Linked DNA regions of Caenorhabditis elegans. The protein of the gene in region 1 purifies or fractionates together with the protein of each later gene. This does not show direct contact. Each region holds a gene or a part of one and is shown on either strand. Other genes may lie near its edges. The genes, in order: sftb-6, Y94H6A.2 and smr-1.

Evidence for each region.
Region 2: the proteins of sftb-6 (region 1) and Y94H6A.2 fractionate together in Caenorhabditis elegans (co-fractionation; one large-scale study listed by BioGRID). This does not show direct contact.
Region 3: the proteins of sftb-6 (region 1) and smr-1 fractionate together in Caenorhabditis elegans (co-fractionation; one large-scale study listed by BioGRID). This does not show direct contact.

Annotation. Positions count from the first base shown.
Region 1 is NC_003280.10:96,380-99,463, forward strand, and holds sftb-6 (Splicing factor 3B subunit 6-like protein), read left to right. Parts: upstream 1-2,024; 5' UTR 2,025-2,031; coding exon 2,032-2,180; intron 2,181-2,246; coding exon 2,247-2,514; 3' UTR 2,515-2,582; downstream 2,583-3,084. Other genes in the region: luc-7L3 (Luc7-like protein 3), read right to left, coding at 1-17, 376-428, 680-802, 863-1,117, 1,168-1,422, 1,468-1,563.
Region 2 is NC_003282.8:2,728,531-2,733,057, forward strand, and holds Y94H6A.2 (DUF4781 domain-containing protein), read left to right. Parts: upstream 1-1,761; coding exon 1,762-1,768; intron 1,769-1,823; coding exon 1,824-2,107; intron 2,108-2,223; coding exon 2,224-2,349; intron 2,350-2,405; coding exon 2,406-2,534; intron 2,535-2,581; coding exon 2,582-2,826; intron 2,827-3,371; coding exon 3,372-3,587; intron 3,588-3,639; coding exon 3,640-3,874; 3' UTR 3,875-3,892; downstream 3,893-4,527.
Region 3 is NC_003281.10:1,141,278-1,145,770, forward strand, and holds smr-1 (Tudor domain-containing protein), read left to right. Parts: upstream 1-1,894; 5' UTR 1,895-1,912; coding exon 1,913-2,038; intron 2,039-2,116; coding exon 2,117-2,194; intron 2,195-2,259; coding exon 2,260-2,356; intron 2,357-2,424; coding exon 2,425-2,549; intron 2,550-2,902; exon of another isoform or gene 2,903-2,991; intron 2,992-3,573; coding exon 3,574-3,867; 3' UTR 3,868-3,934; downstream 3,935-4,493. Other genes in the region: acsd-1 (2-amino-3-carboxymuconate-6-semialdehyde decarboxylase), read left to right, coding at 541-906, 1,400-1,573.

The DNA.
Region 1 (3,084 bases):
CTTCAGCACGTTTTTCTCTGAAAATATTTCAGTTTCTGATTGATCAAATTTTATTGTGAGCAGGGCTACCGGTTTTTAAGTTAAAAAACCAAAAAATTGGAAAATTTACGGTTTTTACAACAAAGAAATTTAAAAATTTACGGTGTTTCTAAAGAAATCGAAAAATTTGTGGTTATTTCAAAAATCGAAAAATTTACGGTTTTCGGTTTGAAAAAAATGGATAAATCGAAAATTTTTCGCTTTTTCCAGAAAAATCGAAAAAGAAGTTTTAAAATCCGAAAATTGTCGTTTTTCGGTTTTGTTTAAAAAAAAACTTTTTTTTCGAAAAAAATTTTTTTTTTTAATTTTTTCGGCTGCACCCCTGATTGCTAGTACCTCCGCTCTTTTCTTTTAGTCTCCTCGGCTTGTTCAAACTCCTTCAGCTTTTCCTGAAATTTTTTAAATTTATTTTCCGCGAAAAAATTCGTCTACATATTGCCAGTTTTTTCCAGTCAAATATACCTGCTCTTTGAGCCATGACACGTAAAAAGGCGTGGGAGGGTGAAAAAACCTGAACCATTTTTTTGGGGGGAATACCTGTACGTCAGCTTGTGTGCTTGAGAGATTTCAGCGTTTTTCAGAGCCCATTTTCTAATAGTAAAAGCATATATAAATATGATATATACGTGTGCATATTTACCTTAAGCTGTTGAATCATAGTCCGGATTTTTTGGAAACCTGTGTGCATTTTTCCAGTCAAATGTTCTTCGATACGCTGTTGAGCGTCATTCACGATGAGCATGCTCCCACACACTTCACAAACCTGTAATTGTATTTTTCTTGGATAAAAATCAGTCTAAATCTTCTAGATTTTTAGATTTACCTCCATTGGCTTAATTGCCATTTCGTCAAGCATCGGTGGCATGGCTTGTGGGTTCGGTTCGTTCATTTGTGAAAGTTTCTCTTCAAGACCTCGTTTTTCAGCTTCAACCATCTCGCTTCTCGCGACTATTTCCTGGCATTTTGTCACATTTCCCTCACTGCCGGCTTGCTCTGCGTCTCGTATCATATTTTTCAGGACATCATCTATCGAATTGATCTCCAATTGTACCTGACGCTTCTCTTCCTCTAACTTTCGCTGAAAAATTGCGTGTTTTCGACATTTTTTTTCAGATTCAAAGAGTTTACCTTTCCACTATCATCCATTCCGGACAATTTGTCTTTGTTCTTTCGAATTCTTCGCTGATTATCTTCATCTAATTGAACGAGAAACCGCATAAGACGTCTTTCAAAGCCAAGTTGTCCATATTCTGGAGATTCTGGATACAATCTTCGAAGATTATCGTCATGTACTAGCTGGCACGCTCCCAAATCTGCCTTTGTATTGATGAACATGTCGTGAGGACAGAAACCGACCAGGAAGTACGGGCATATGTCAGGATCCTGTAATAATCTATCAATAGTTCCAGGGGAAAAAATTTAAGTTACATCAAATGTGACTTTTGTGTCTTTTCCTAGTTCAACATTCCGTTTGGGACCCATTAGCTCGTCGAGCATTGCTGCCATAGCGTTGCGAGCCGACATGACTGTAAAATTTATTTTTTGTTGAAAGTTTGAGAGAAAAATCGGTTGAAATAACAGAAAAAAACATCGTTTCGCCGGAAAAAAAACAAAAGTTTGTTTGCAAAAACACTAGTGTATATTTACGGTAAACAAAGTGCGCATGCGTAATTTCGGAGTGTCGTTGTTGTGCATTTTCCTTTGAGAAAACGCGTTAAGATCACTATTTTATCGACTTTTTTATTATTATTATGAAATATATTCAATAGAATTTTCTATTTCGAATCATTTTTCAGTAAAAATGTTGAGAAAATTCAGTAAACAATACCAAAAAAGAATTCGATGAATAAACAAGGCGCGTGGAATTCCCTGTGGAATTTCGGAGTGTCGTTGGCTAAAATCTTTCGAATTATAAAATTTAATTTGCTTTCGAGACTCTTTTTGCCTCTTATTATTACGTTTTTTCTTCAAATTTTCAATTTCAGATTCACAATGGCAATGGCAAATCGTCAAAACCGTGGCGCAAAGCTGCCGCCAGAGGTCAATCGTATTCTTTATATTAAAAATTTGCCGTATAAAATCACGACGGAAGAGATGTACGAGATTTTTGGAAAATTCGGAGCAGTTCGGCAAATTCGAGTGTAAGTTCAAGCACAATTATGGTTTTGCCTGTTCTTGAAGAAGCCCGACCAGTATTGATTTTTCAGCGGAAACACTGCAGAAACTCGCGGAACTGCATTCGTCGTCTACGAGGACATATTCGATGCGAAAACCGCCTGCGAACATCTGTCTGGCTATAACGTTTCGAATCGGTATCTTGTGGTGCTCTATTATCAAGCGACAAAAGCGTGGAAGAGAATGGACACGGAAAAGGCTCGTACCAAGCTTGAAGATATCAAAGAAAGATATGGAATTGGTGGAGACATCGACAAGGAAAAGGAGAAGTTGGGATTGTTCACTCCAAGAAGAATTTAAATATCGTGTTTCTTTAAACCTTATTTTATCATTTCCCTCAACCTTCAATGAATGATAATTTCTCTGTGATTATTTTTCTTTGAACTTTTCATGAAAAAAGTATAAAGAGTAGCTGAGAAGTATTTCTAGAAGCCTTTCCCATGTAGTTTTCACTGCAACTTTTTTCGAACGAGGGGTGAGAAAAAATGCGAAAAATCGGTGTTTGCACACAATACACCGCATTTTACGACATTTTCTACTTGCTTTCTTTTCTTGTGTTTTTCACCGATTTTTCCCGTGTTTTCTTATTAAAACTGATAAATAAATATTTTTTGTTAATGCTAAAATAATTTCCAGATGAAAAAATTGTGAATTCAGCCGGCAAGTAGCGGTGAAAGTGGTCAATGTAATATGATGGATTACGGGAATACAAAACCCAAACTTTTCCCCAAACATGATACATATGATGTTTAGATGCTAAAAGTACCTGATTTTCATAATGAGACCGCTGAAAAAGTTTTGAGATTTTCAAAATTCAACTTTTTTGGTAAAAAAGTCGAGATTTTGGCACAAAATGTTGAATTTTGAAAA
Region 2 (4,527 bases), on another chromosome or scaffold:
TTACTCAGTTTTTTTTGTCTTCACAAGGTGTAACGACCCACAAAATCATCCGAGCTTAATCTTCTATTAAAATTCTTGAAAGTCAGATCAAAACGTTCCCCGAAAAATACTAAAATGAGTTTTCCTGCATACTGCTGCCGCCGCTCACATCTATCTTTCTGGCGACTGTGTCATTCAAGGCTTCTATGTCATTCAAACTACTGCCACAGTCATACCATGACAGAACTTTTTTGGATTTTTGTTTTCAAAGAATCTCTAGACCAAGAGCATTCTTTGAACTATAAAAACTTGTAAGATACTTGATGGGTTCCTCGAAAAAAAAAAAGTAAAAATCCCGCAGAATGCCGACTTGCGTGCCATCAAGAACGTGATCTCAAAAGTTCGGAAAGCCTGCAGCGATGCGGTTAGGGAAATTTTAAAAATTTTAAACGTTAATCTGGTCAGTATTTCATGGAGATCAAAATTTATACAAATTGATGTAATAACTCTCGCCACACGTGAAGTTACAGAGCTGCAAACGTGTTACCATACTTATGGCGCAGAAGAAAAATCAATCAACAATAACTTTATTTAGGATACACCTGCAAATATCCAAAACGATTTACGATCATAGTTTTTTCCCAAAAAAGTCTTTTCGAAAAATCCCTCAATCAAGGCGCCGGGTCTTTTTGAATACTCATTTAAGTACCAGTTCACCGGTCCGAAAAAGATAGTAGTGTTGCGCCGAATGATCAACACAAGTCCACATTCATCGCCGAACCGTTCGCAAAGCTTTTCCGCATAATCTCCTGGAGATTCTTCGAAGGATGCTCGATGCAACACCTCCACAGTCGTAGTAAGTACAGTGTACCGCATTTTCTATATTAGTCGCCACTACCATACTTTTATAATGTGTTTAACTGAAGACAATTAATGTTAATGTTAATGCAATATGAACTAATACGGAAAATACGGTATTTATTTAAAGAAAACACCATTAATTAATTTAAATCAATATTCAGCATTCATGACCTTCGTGAGTACGTGCGTGGTCTTCGCGAAACGTTCGGCGCCGAATGTGGCTTTGTGGGGATTATTCGAAAACATAGAAACATTCGCAAACGTTGGGTAAACTGTGACCCAGACGATTATCCCAGAGGACCCGGTGACTGTATTGAGAGATGTTTCAAGGGCAATGGTTCTGACTTTTTTTTTGGTAGTGGCGACTTTTTTCAGTACTGGTACGGTCAAAAGTTTGAGATAATTGCTGGTGTTCGATGAATATTTGTAGTTTTTATTCAAAACCGTTCCATTGTAATAAAAACTACGACATTTTATCTTTTTGCGATTTCTTTTTTTTTAAATAAATATTTTATCTAATACCTTCAAGGAAAACTAATGTATCTTTTACATGTTTTTTGTGAATAAATCTTTTCTTTCTTTTAAAATCTTTTAAAAAAATCAGAATTTATAGTTTAGTTCTTTAGTTCGGAACTCACTTACTATGCCAAAAATCGTGTTCCCTAAATGAGTCACTTGGTACTATTGACATATTTGAGTATTTTCAACACATAATTTTCTTTGACATTTTTGCCCTTTCCGAATTTTTATGAGGAAGACGCTAGCATTCCTGATAAAGAAAATGTCAGTATTCCTCATACTTAGTTCCACAAGAAAAATGGCATGCGTGTAATGTGTAGCACTAGAGTATAAAACAAGAACAGAGAAAAGAAAGATAAGACATCATTGCTTTTCTATTTGGAGACAGTTATATATTTCAAGATGGCTGGTAAGATTCTATTTTTAAAATAATATGAAATTGAATCGAATTCTCAATTTTCCAGCTGTAAACTACACGACGGGATTTATTTCGGTGGTCACTGGCTGCCTAGGAGTACATGGGGCTTATGCGTCCGCCGCAGTGGTTCCGCATTTAACTGCGATTTGTGCATGCGGTGCTATAGTTAGTGCATATGTTACGATGGCTGCATACAAAGATGACAAATCAACGGAGCTGATACTCAGCGAGCTCAAAACGCTCGACAAGAAGATTGGGGAACTGTCACATAAGATGGACGCGTTGTTCGGTGATCTTAAGTCATTTATAACAACGTCTCACTTTTACATGGTATGTTCGGAATAGATATTGGTTCAAAGTGTGGTTACGAAGCCTTCTGCGCAGGAAAAAAGTTAATCACGACCCTTTTTAACCTTCACCCTTTACCCTTACTCAAAATTTTGCAGAATGAGGTCGCTACAATCAAAACGTTGATGAAATACATGCAGGATACGATGAACAATCCTTGTAAATACACAAAAGAGCTATTTCGTGGCGCTGTGACGGATAATAAACCTTTGTGGATTGCAGAGGTAGGACTTATTAAGGAATCACAAGATTTCAATGTTAGACAGCTTCAAATTTCCAGCAAATGATTATAAAACTCGACCAGGAGGAAACGAATCCTCTCAAAATGGCAATGAACTGTGATCCTCTTCGACCAACGGAAACTTTTGAAAAATGGAGAAAAATAATCGACGGAGTGCTTGCCCAATGTGTAGGTACTCACTACATCCCTCACTAAATAAAGTGTATCATATTCAGCTGATTTTGGAGACGTACCAGAATGGAATGTTTTGCGATAAGAACATGATTGGACCGAGTCGTTTAAAGAAGCAAACCGAAGAATTACAACTGAAAATGAATAGATGGGCTGAAGAATACCGTCAAGATCACTCGTACTGGGACGATGGAGTCTTAAGTTTAATCCATAATGTGCAAGACAATAATGAGGGAAGTGAAAATATACGAAATATTTTGACTAAAGAATTGGGCAAGATCATGACAAAGTGAGTATTTTTGTAAATTGACAAGGGACATAAAAGGGTAATTGTGTATTATAACTTTACTTTTTTCAAATTAAATTATGACCGGGGTAGCAATTATTTTATCTGTTAAGTTATTTAAAACGTGAATAGTATTTCCATTATTAGGCTTACAAAGGAAGTATTCCAATTTAACCCCGGTCAATTTAGGCACTTTGAACTGGAAAGAAGTCGCTCTGAAAAATTTTCAATGCATTTTTCACGATTTTCGCAGCCCGTAAAATTCCTCCAAATGTTGATTTTTGCAGATTTCTGATGATTTCTAGGCTTTTGAGGGCCAACCAATTTTTTTCTGGAATTTTTTTAATTTGTGAAAAAATATAAAAGATTTTGGTCCCGAAAGACCAAAAAAGCCAAAAAATCTGCGTTTTCCGAAAATTTATTCAAAAAAAGACAGCCCTGCTGTGAACGTCAGTAATTTTTCTCACATCCACTTACAAATGTAACCATTTTTTGCACACCATATCGCAAACAGTCAGATTTCAAATTGATTTTCCAAAATATTTCAGCCACAAATTTTACGTGATCGTCTACGATTTCTGTGACGGTTCATCTGAGGAGTACCAATTCACTTCATACAGCTATTTCAAACGCAATTTTAAATCTTCTTTCAATCGAAACGGGTGCAATGCTTTTGTTTTACGAAGCCTCAGAACCCAAGATTGCAAAAGGCACGAGGAGAACCTTCAAAGAAAGCTGCAAGCTGCCCTTCCAATGGAATACGAGTTTGTATTTTGCGGCTTAATGGCATAACATTTGATCCAAACATTTTTTCAGCTACAGATTCAAATTGATTGATTATGCGGAAAAGCTTTGCAAACGGTTCGGCGATGAATGTGGACTTGTGTTGATCATTCGGCGCAACACTACTATCTTTTTCGGACCGGTGAACTGGTACTTAAATGAGTATTCAAAAAGACCCGGCGCCTTGATTGAGGGATTTTTCGAAAAGACTTTTTTGGGAAAAAACTATGATCGTAAATCGTTTTGGATATTTGCAGGTGTATCCTAAATAAAGTTATTGTTGATTGATTTTTCTTCTGCGCCATAAGTATGGTAACACGTTTGCAGCTCTGTAACTTCACGTGTGGCGAGAGTTATTACATCAATTTGTATAAATTTTGATCTCCATGAAATACTGACCAGATTAACGTTTAAAATTTTTAAAATTTCCCTAACCGCATCGCTGCAGGCTTTCCGAACTTTTGAGATCACGTTCTTGATGGCACGCAAGTCGGCATTCTGCGGGATTTTTACTTTTTTTTTTTCGAGGAACCCATCAAGTATCTTACAAGTTTTTATAGTTCAAAGAATGCTCTTGGTCTAGAGATTCTTTGAAAACAAAAATCCAAAAAAGTTCTGTCATGGTATGACTGTGGCAGTAGTTTGAATGACATAGAAGCCTTGAATGACACAGTCGCCAGAAAGATAGATGTGAGCGGCGGCAGCAGTATGCAGGAAAACTCATTTTAGTATTTTTCGGGGAACGTTTTGATCTGACTTTCAAGAATTTTAATAGAAGATTAAGCTCGGATGATTTTGTGGGTCGTTACACCTTGTGAAGACAAAAAAAACTGAGTAATTTTCGCAAAGTTGAATTCATGAAATATTCAAAGGTTTTTTCTAGGCGCCAGTGTCGATACAGAAAATTTTCAAATACTACAA
Region 3 (4,493 bases), on another chromosome or scaffold:
GTATGAAATCAGCTCACTGAGAGCTTCAATTTAAGTACCATCATGCCTGGGTTCCGTGAATTTTTCGAAAATCGGGGTCTCGCCACGAAAAACCCCAGGAGTACTGTACCTACAGTAGCCAGCTGGAGCATAACATTTTTAAGATACAGAAATATAATTTTCCTACATTGTAAAACAAAATTCATTCAAAAATCTTAAAAACTGACGGAGTTATAGATTTTCGAAAATTTTCGAATTTCTCAAAAATTCAAAGCTACAGTAATTTTGTGAATTTCGTGGCGAGACCCTCAAAACTTAGATAAATGAATTCAGCTCATCGAGAGCTTTAATTTAAGTACCACCATGCCTAGGTTACGTCGAATTTTAATTTTCTGGGTCTCGCCACGCGGGGTACTGTAGCTCTAGTTTCAGCTGTGTCGAAGCTAGAAAATTCAAAATCGCCTGATTATAGTCATGATGGGTGTCATTTGAAAGCTCTCGGCGAGACGAATCCAGCTAAAATATTTTCAAATCAAAAAAAATCAAAAATCTAGTTTTCAGATTTGCGAGGAGCTCTCGGTGGTGCTCTTTGTGCATCCTTGGGATATGCACATGTGGGACGGGCGGCTGGACAAATACTGGATGCCATGGCTCGTCGGAATGCCATCTGAAACTGCTCAAGCCATTTGCTCAGTGCTCATGGGCAACATTTTGGTGCTCTTCCCCAAGTTGAAGCTCTGCTTTGCACATGGGGGCGGCGCCTACCCACAGATTCGTGGCCGAGTTTCTCACGGATGGAATGTTAGGCCAGACTTGTGTGCTGGAAAGTGTAAAGTTGCTCCGAATAAGCTCGATGGGCTACTGTGGACGGATAGCTTGGTTCATGACCCAAAAGCTCTCGAACTGCTGATAAATACCGTTGGAAAGGTGTGCAATTTTGATTTTAGAGAGTTCTAGATAGAAAATTCGAATTCCCCGCGTCGTCAGCTTTCAAATGACGCCCATCATGACTATGCTACGTTCATTTTGAATTTTCCTGTTTCGACACAGCTGAAACTGGTGCTACAGTACCCCGCGTGGCGACACCCAAAATTCACAAAATTTCGAAAACCTAGGCAAGATGGGTGTCAAATGAAAGGTGTTAATGTGCTGAATTCAAAAATTCAAATTTTTTGGGTCCTGCCACGAATTTGCAGAAGCTGAGGCAAGTTTTCGTGGCGAGACCCAAGAAATATTGCGAAATCTGTCAAACTTGACGAAAACTAGTTGATATGGGGCTTATTTTGAAGCTCTTGACTTGCTCAATTCAAATTTTAACTTGAAATCAAGAAATTTGTGGTCTCGAAGCGACAATTTTCGAAAAAAACTTGACATTCGCGAGAAATCCGTCAATTTTCATCATTTTTTCTCAATTTTTCAGGAGCATATAGTGCTTGGCACCGACTACCCATTTCCGCTTGGCGAGCTTGAAGTTGGAAGAGTTGTGGAAGAGTATAAGCCATTTTCTGCCAAGGACAGGGAGGATTTGCTGTGGAAAAACGCTGTAAAAATGCTGGATATCGATGAAAACTTGCTTTTTAATAAGGATTTTTGATCATTTTTTGGTTTTTATTGATTTTTATTGGGACATGTTGGGTTTTTATTGGTTTTTAATAAAGAATTTAGACTTTTTGTTCGAAAAACGATGTTTTCACATTCAAATACCCGCCGAAAACGAGAAATGCGCAAGAGTGGGGTTGCTGGCGCAATACTCGATTTTGCTGACGCGTTTCTCGTCTTTTTGAAAATACATTTTATTTCATCGATTTTCGCCGGATTTTCGCCGGTTTTTCTTGATTTTTCTTGATTTTTTGCCATTTTTCAGTCAAATTTCATCGTTTTTCTCGATTTTCTTGCCAATTTCCAGCATTTTCAGTGAAAAAATAGCGGAAAAATGGAGGAAGAGCTCGCCTCTTACAAACTTCAGCTCCAGCAGGTCGAGGCGGCTTTGCTCGGCGATCCGACGAATGTGGAGCTTCTCAAGTTGAAGGAAGACCTCGGGGAGATTATTTCGCTGCAGGTAGTGTGAAAAAAAGCGGAGAAAATGCAAAATTTTCGAAAAAAAATCAATAAAAACTGATTTTTTTCCAATTTTCAGGAAGATTTGGCGGAAACCGACAAGGCAGAATCATCAGAGAGGGCTGTGGTGGCTCCGCAAGTGATTCACAAGTGGACGGTACGGATTTTCAGCGAAAAAACCCCGATTTTCGCCAATTTTTCAGCTAAAAATCGATTTTTCAGGTCGGCGAACGAGTTATCGCCCCACATCCCGACGGAAAAAAGGTTTTCGCCAGAATCGACTCACTTACGCCCGCCGGAGTGGCTATTACCTTCACATGTAGGGGGATTTTATCGATTTTTAGCCCAAAAATCGTGAATTTTCACCAAAAATTCGTATTTTTTCAGCTACCGGCACGAAAACCATCGTAGATCCCGCTGATCTCCAACTCCCGCCCGAAAATCAGCGAAAAAATTATGCATTTGATAACACAAAGTCGGCGGCCGGACCATCGACTCAACACGGCAAAAAGGTTGGAAAAAATGGAAAAAATTCCTTGTTCTTCTGTAAAAAACCAGAAAAACCCCGTTTTTGCAATATTTTTGAGCTAAAAATCGCAAAAATCACCAAAAATTGACACTTTTTCAGCTTTTATCGACTATTTTCTGCAGGAATTTCTAGAAATTGACGTTTTTCCGGATAAAACGGCTTTTTTCGTGAAATTTTCATCGATTTTTTGGACTTTCCGGGGTACTGTAGCTCCAAAAGTACGCAAACACCACAAGTCTTACGGCAAAATGCAGAAATCTTGATTTTTCACATTTAAAGTGATTTTTCTCAAATTTTCAGTTGGAAATCGAGTTTCTCACTCATTTTTACCCCTGGAAATCGGTTTTTTGCACAAAATAGATTGGTGGCCTAACTTTTGGGATTTCTAGGCCACCAATCTGAAAATGATGGTTTTAAGCCATTTTCATCGATTTTTTTTGGATTTTTATGTCAAATATAGACGATAAAAACGATTTTAAACTGAAAATCGCAAAATTTCTAGTTTAAATCTCTAGAAAATCCCAAAAATCGATATTTCCGTGACTCATGTGCTTCTACTCGGATTGATGGCATAAAAACTGTTTTTATTTACATTTTCAGTCTTAAATTGGCTGAAAATGTAGGTAAATACCGTATTTCTGCCAACAATTTGACAATAAAGCACATTTGTCACTCGGAGATGCGGAAGCTATGCCCAAATTTTTAATTTTACCGAAAAACTCGTAATTTTCACAGATATTCAGCCCAAATATCGACTTTTCCATCACTTTTTACCCCCGTAGCCCGTTTTTCAGCCAATTTATGCAAATTTTCGTAAAATTCGGTGCCTAGGCGGTGTTTGCGTACTTTGGCGCTACCGTAACCCTCGAAATTCAAATTTTGAGCTATAGGCCCTGACAAAGGTCCATTTGGGGTAAAATTAAGCGGAGAATTTGAATTTTAGCATGAAAATTGCTGGAAATTGCTGAAAAATTCAAAAAAAAAATCAAATTTTTTCAAATTTCCAGGAATGGCAAGCAGAAAAGGAGCGCCGACGTCAAAAAGCGCTCAAAAAACAGCAAAAACAGAAGGAGCTCGACTCGATAAAGGATGGCGAGAAGAAAAGTTGGCAAAAATTCAACACAAAAGCCAACGCGAAAGGTCTGAAGGGCCTGAAGAAGGTTTCGGCGACAGGATCAAGCCAGGATGGCTCGGCGAGCAGCAGCGGCGGCGGCGGAGAGAAGCGAGGAACGATCGTCTCGTCGAGAAGCTCTCAGTTCATTTTTAAAGCCACCCGTGGAGCTATGGATTCACTTTTTTGAGCTCTCTTGTATATCCGATTTTACTGTACTTTTTTTGTGTTCTTGATATAATAAAAACTCGATTTTTTCCCGGAAATTGTGAAAAAATGCCAAAAAACACTTTTTTTCGGACATGGTGGATCGTTTCAGGTGTCGGGGGATATGGTCGGGTACTGTAGGAGTACGGTAGGATTACTGTAGTTTGGGAAAAGTTGGCTTTTTTGTCTTTTGAACGGACATTGGTTTAGGGTTAGTGGGGGGATATGGTCGGCGTACTGTAGGGGTACTGTAGTAGTACTGTAGGAGTACTGTAGGGGTACTGTAGTAGTGCTGTAGAGGTACTGTAGTAGTACTGTAGTTAGGGATAACTTGACTTTTTGTCATTTGAGGGGATATGGTCGGGGTACTGTAGGGGTACTGTAGGATTACTGTAGTTTGGGAAAATTGACTTTTCGTCTTTTGAAGGGATATTGGTTTGAGGTTAGTGGGGGGATATGGCCGGGGTACTGTAGGGGTACTGTAGGAATACTGTAGTTTTGGAAAAAAGTGTTTTCGTCTTTCGAGGGGATATGGTCGGGGTACTGTAGTAGTACTGTAGTGGTACTGTAGTTTGGGAAAAATTGACTTTTCAAGGGATATTGGTTTGG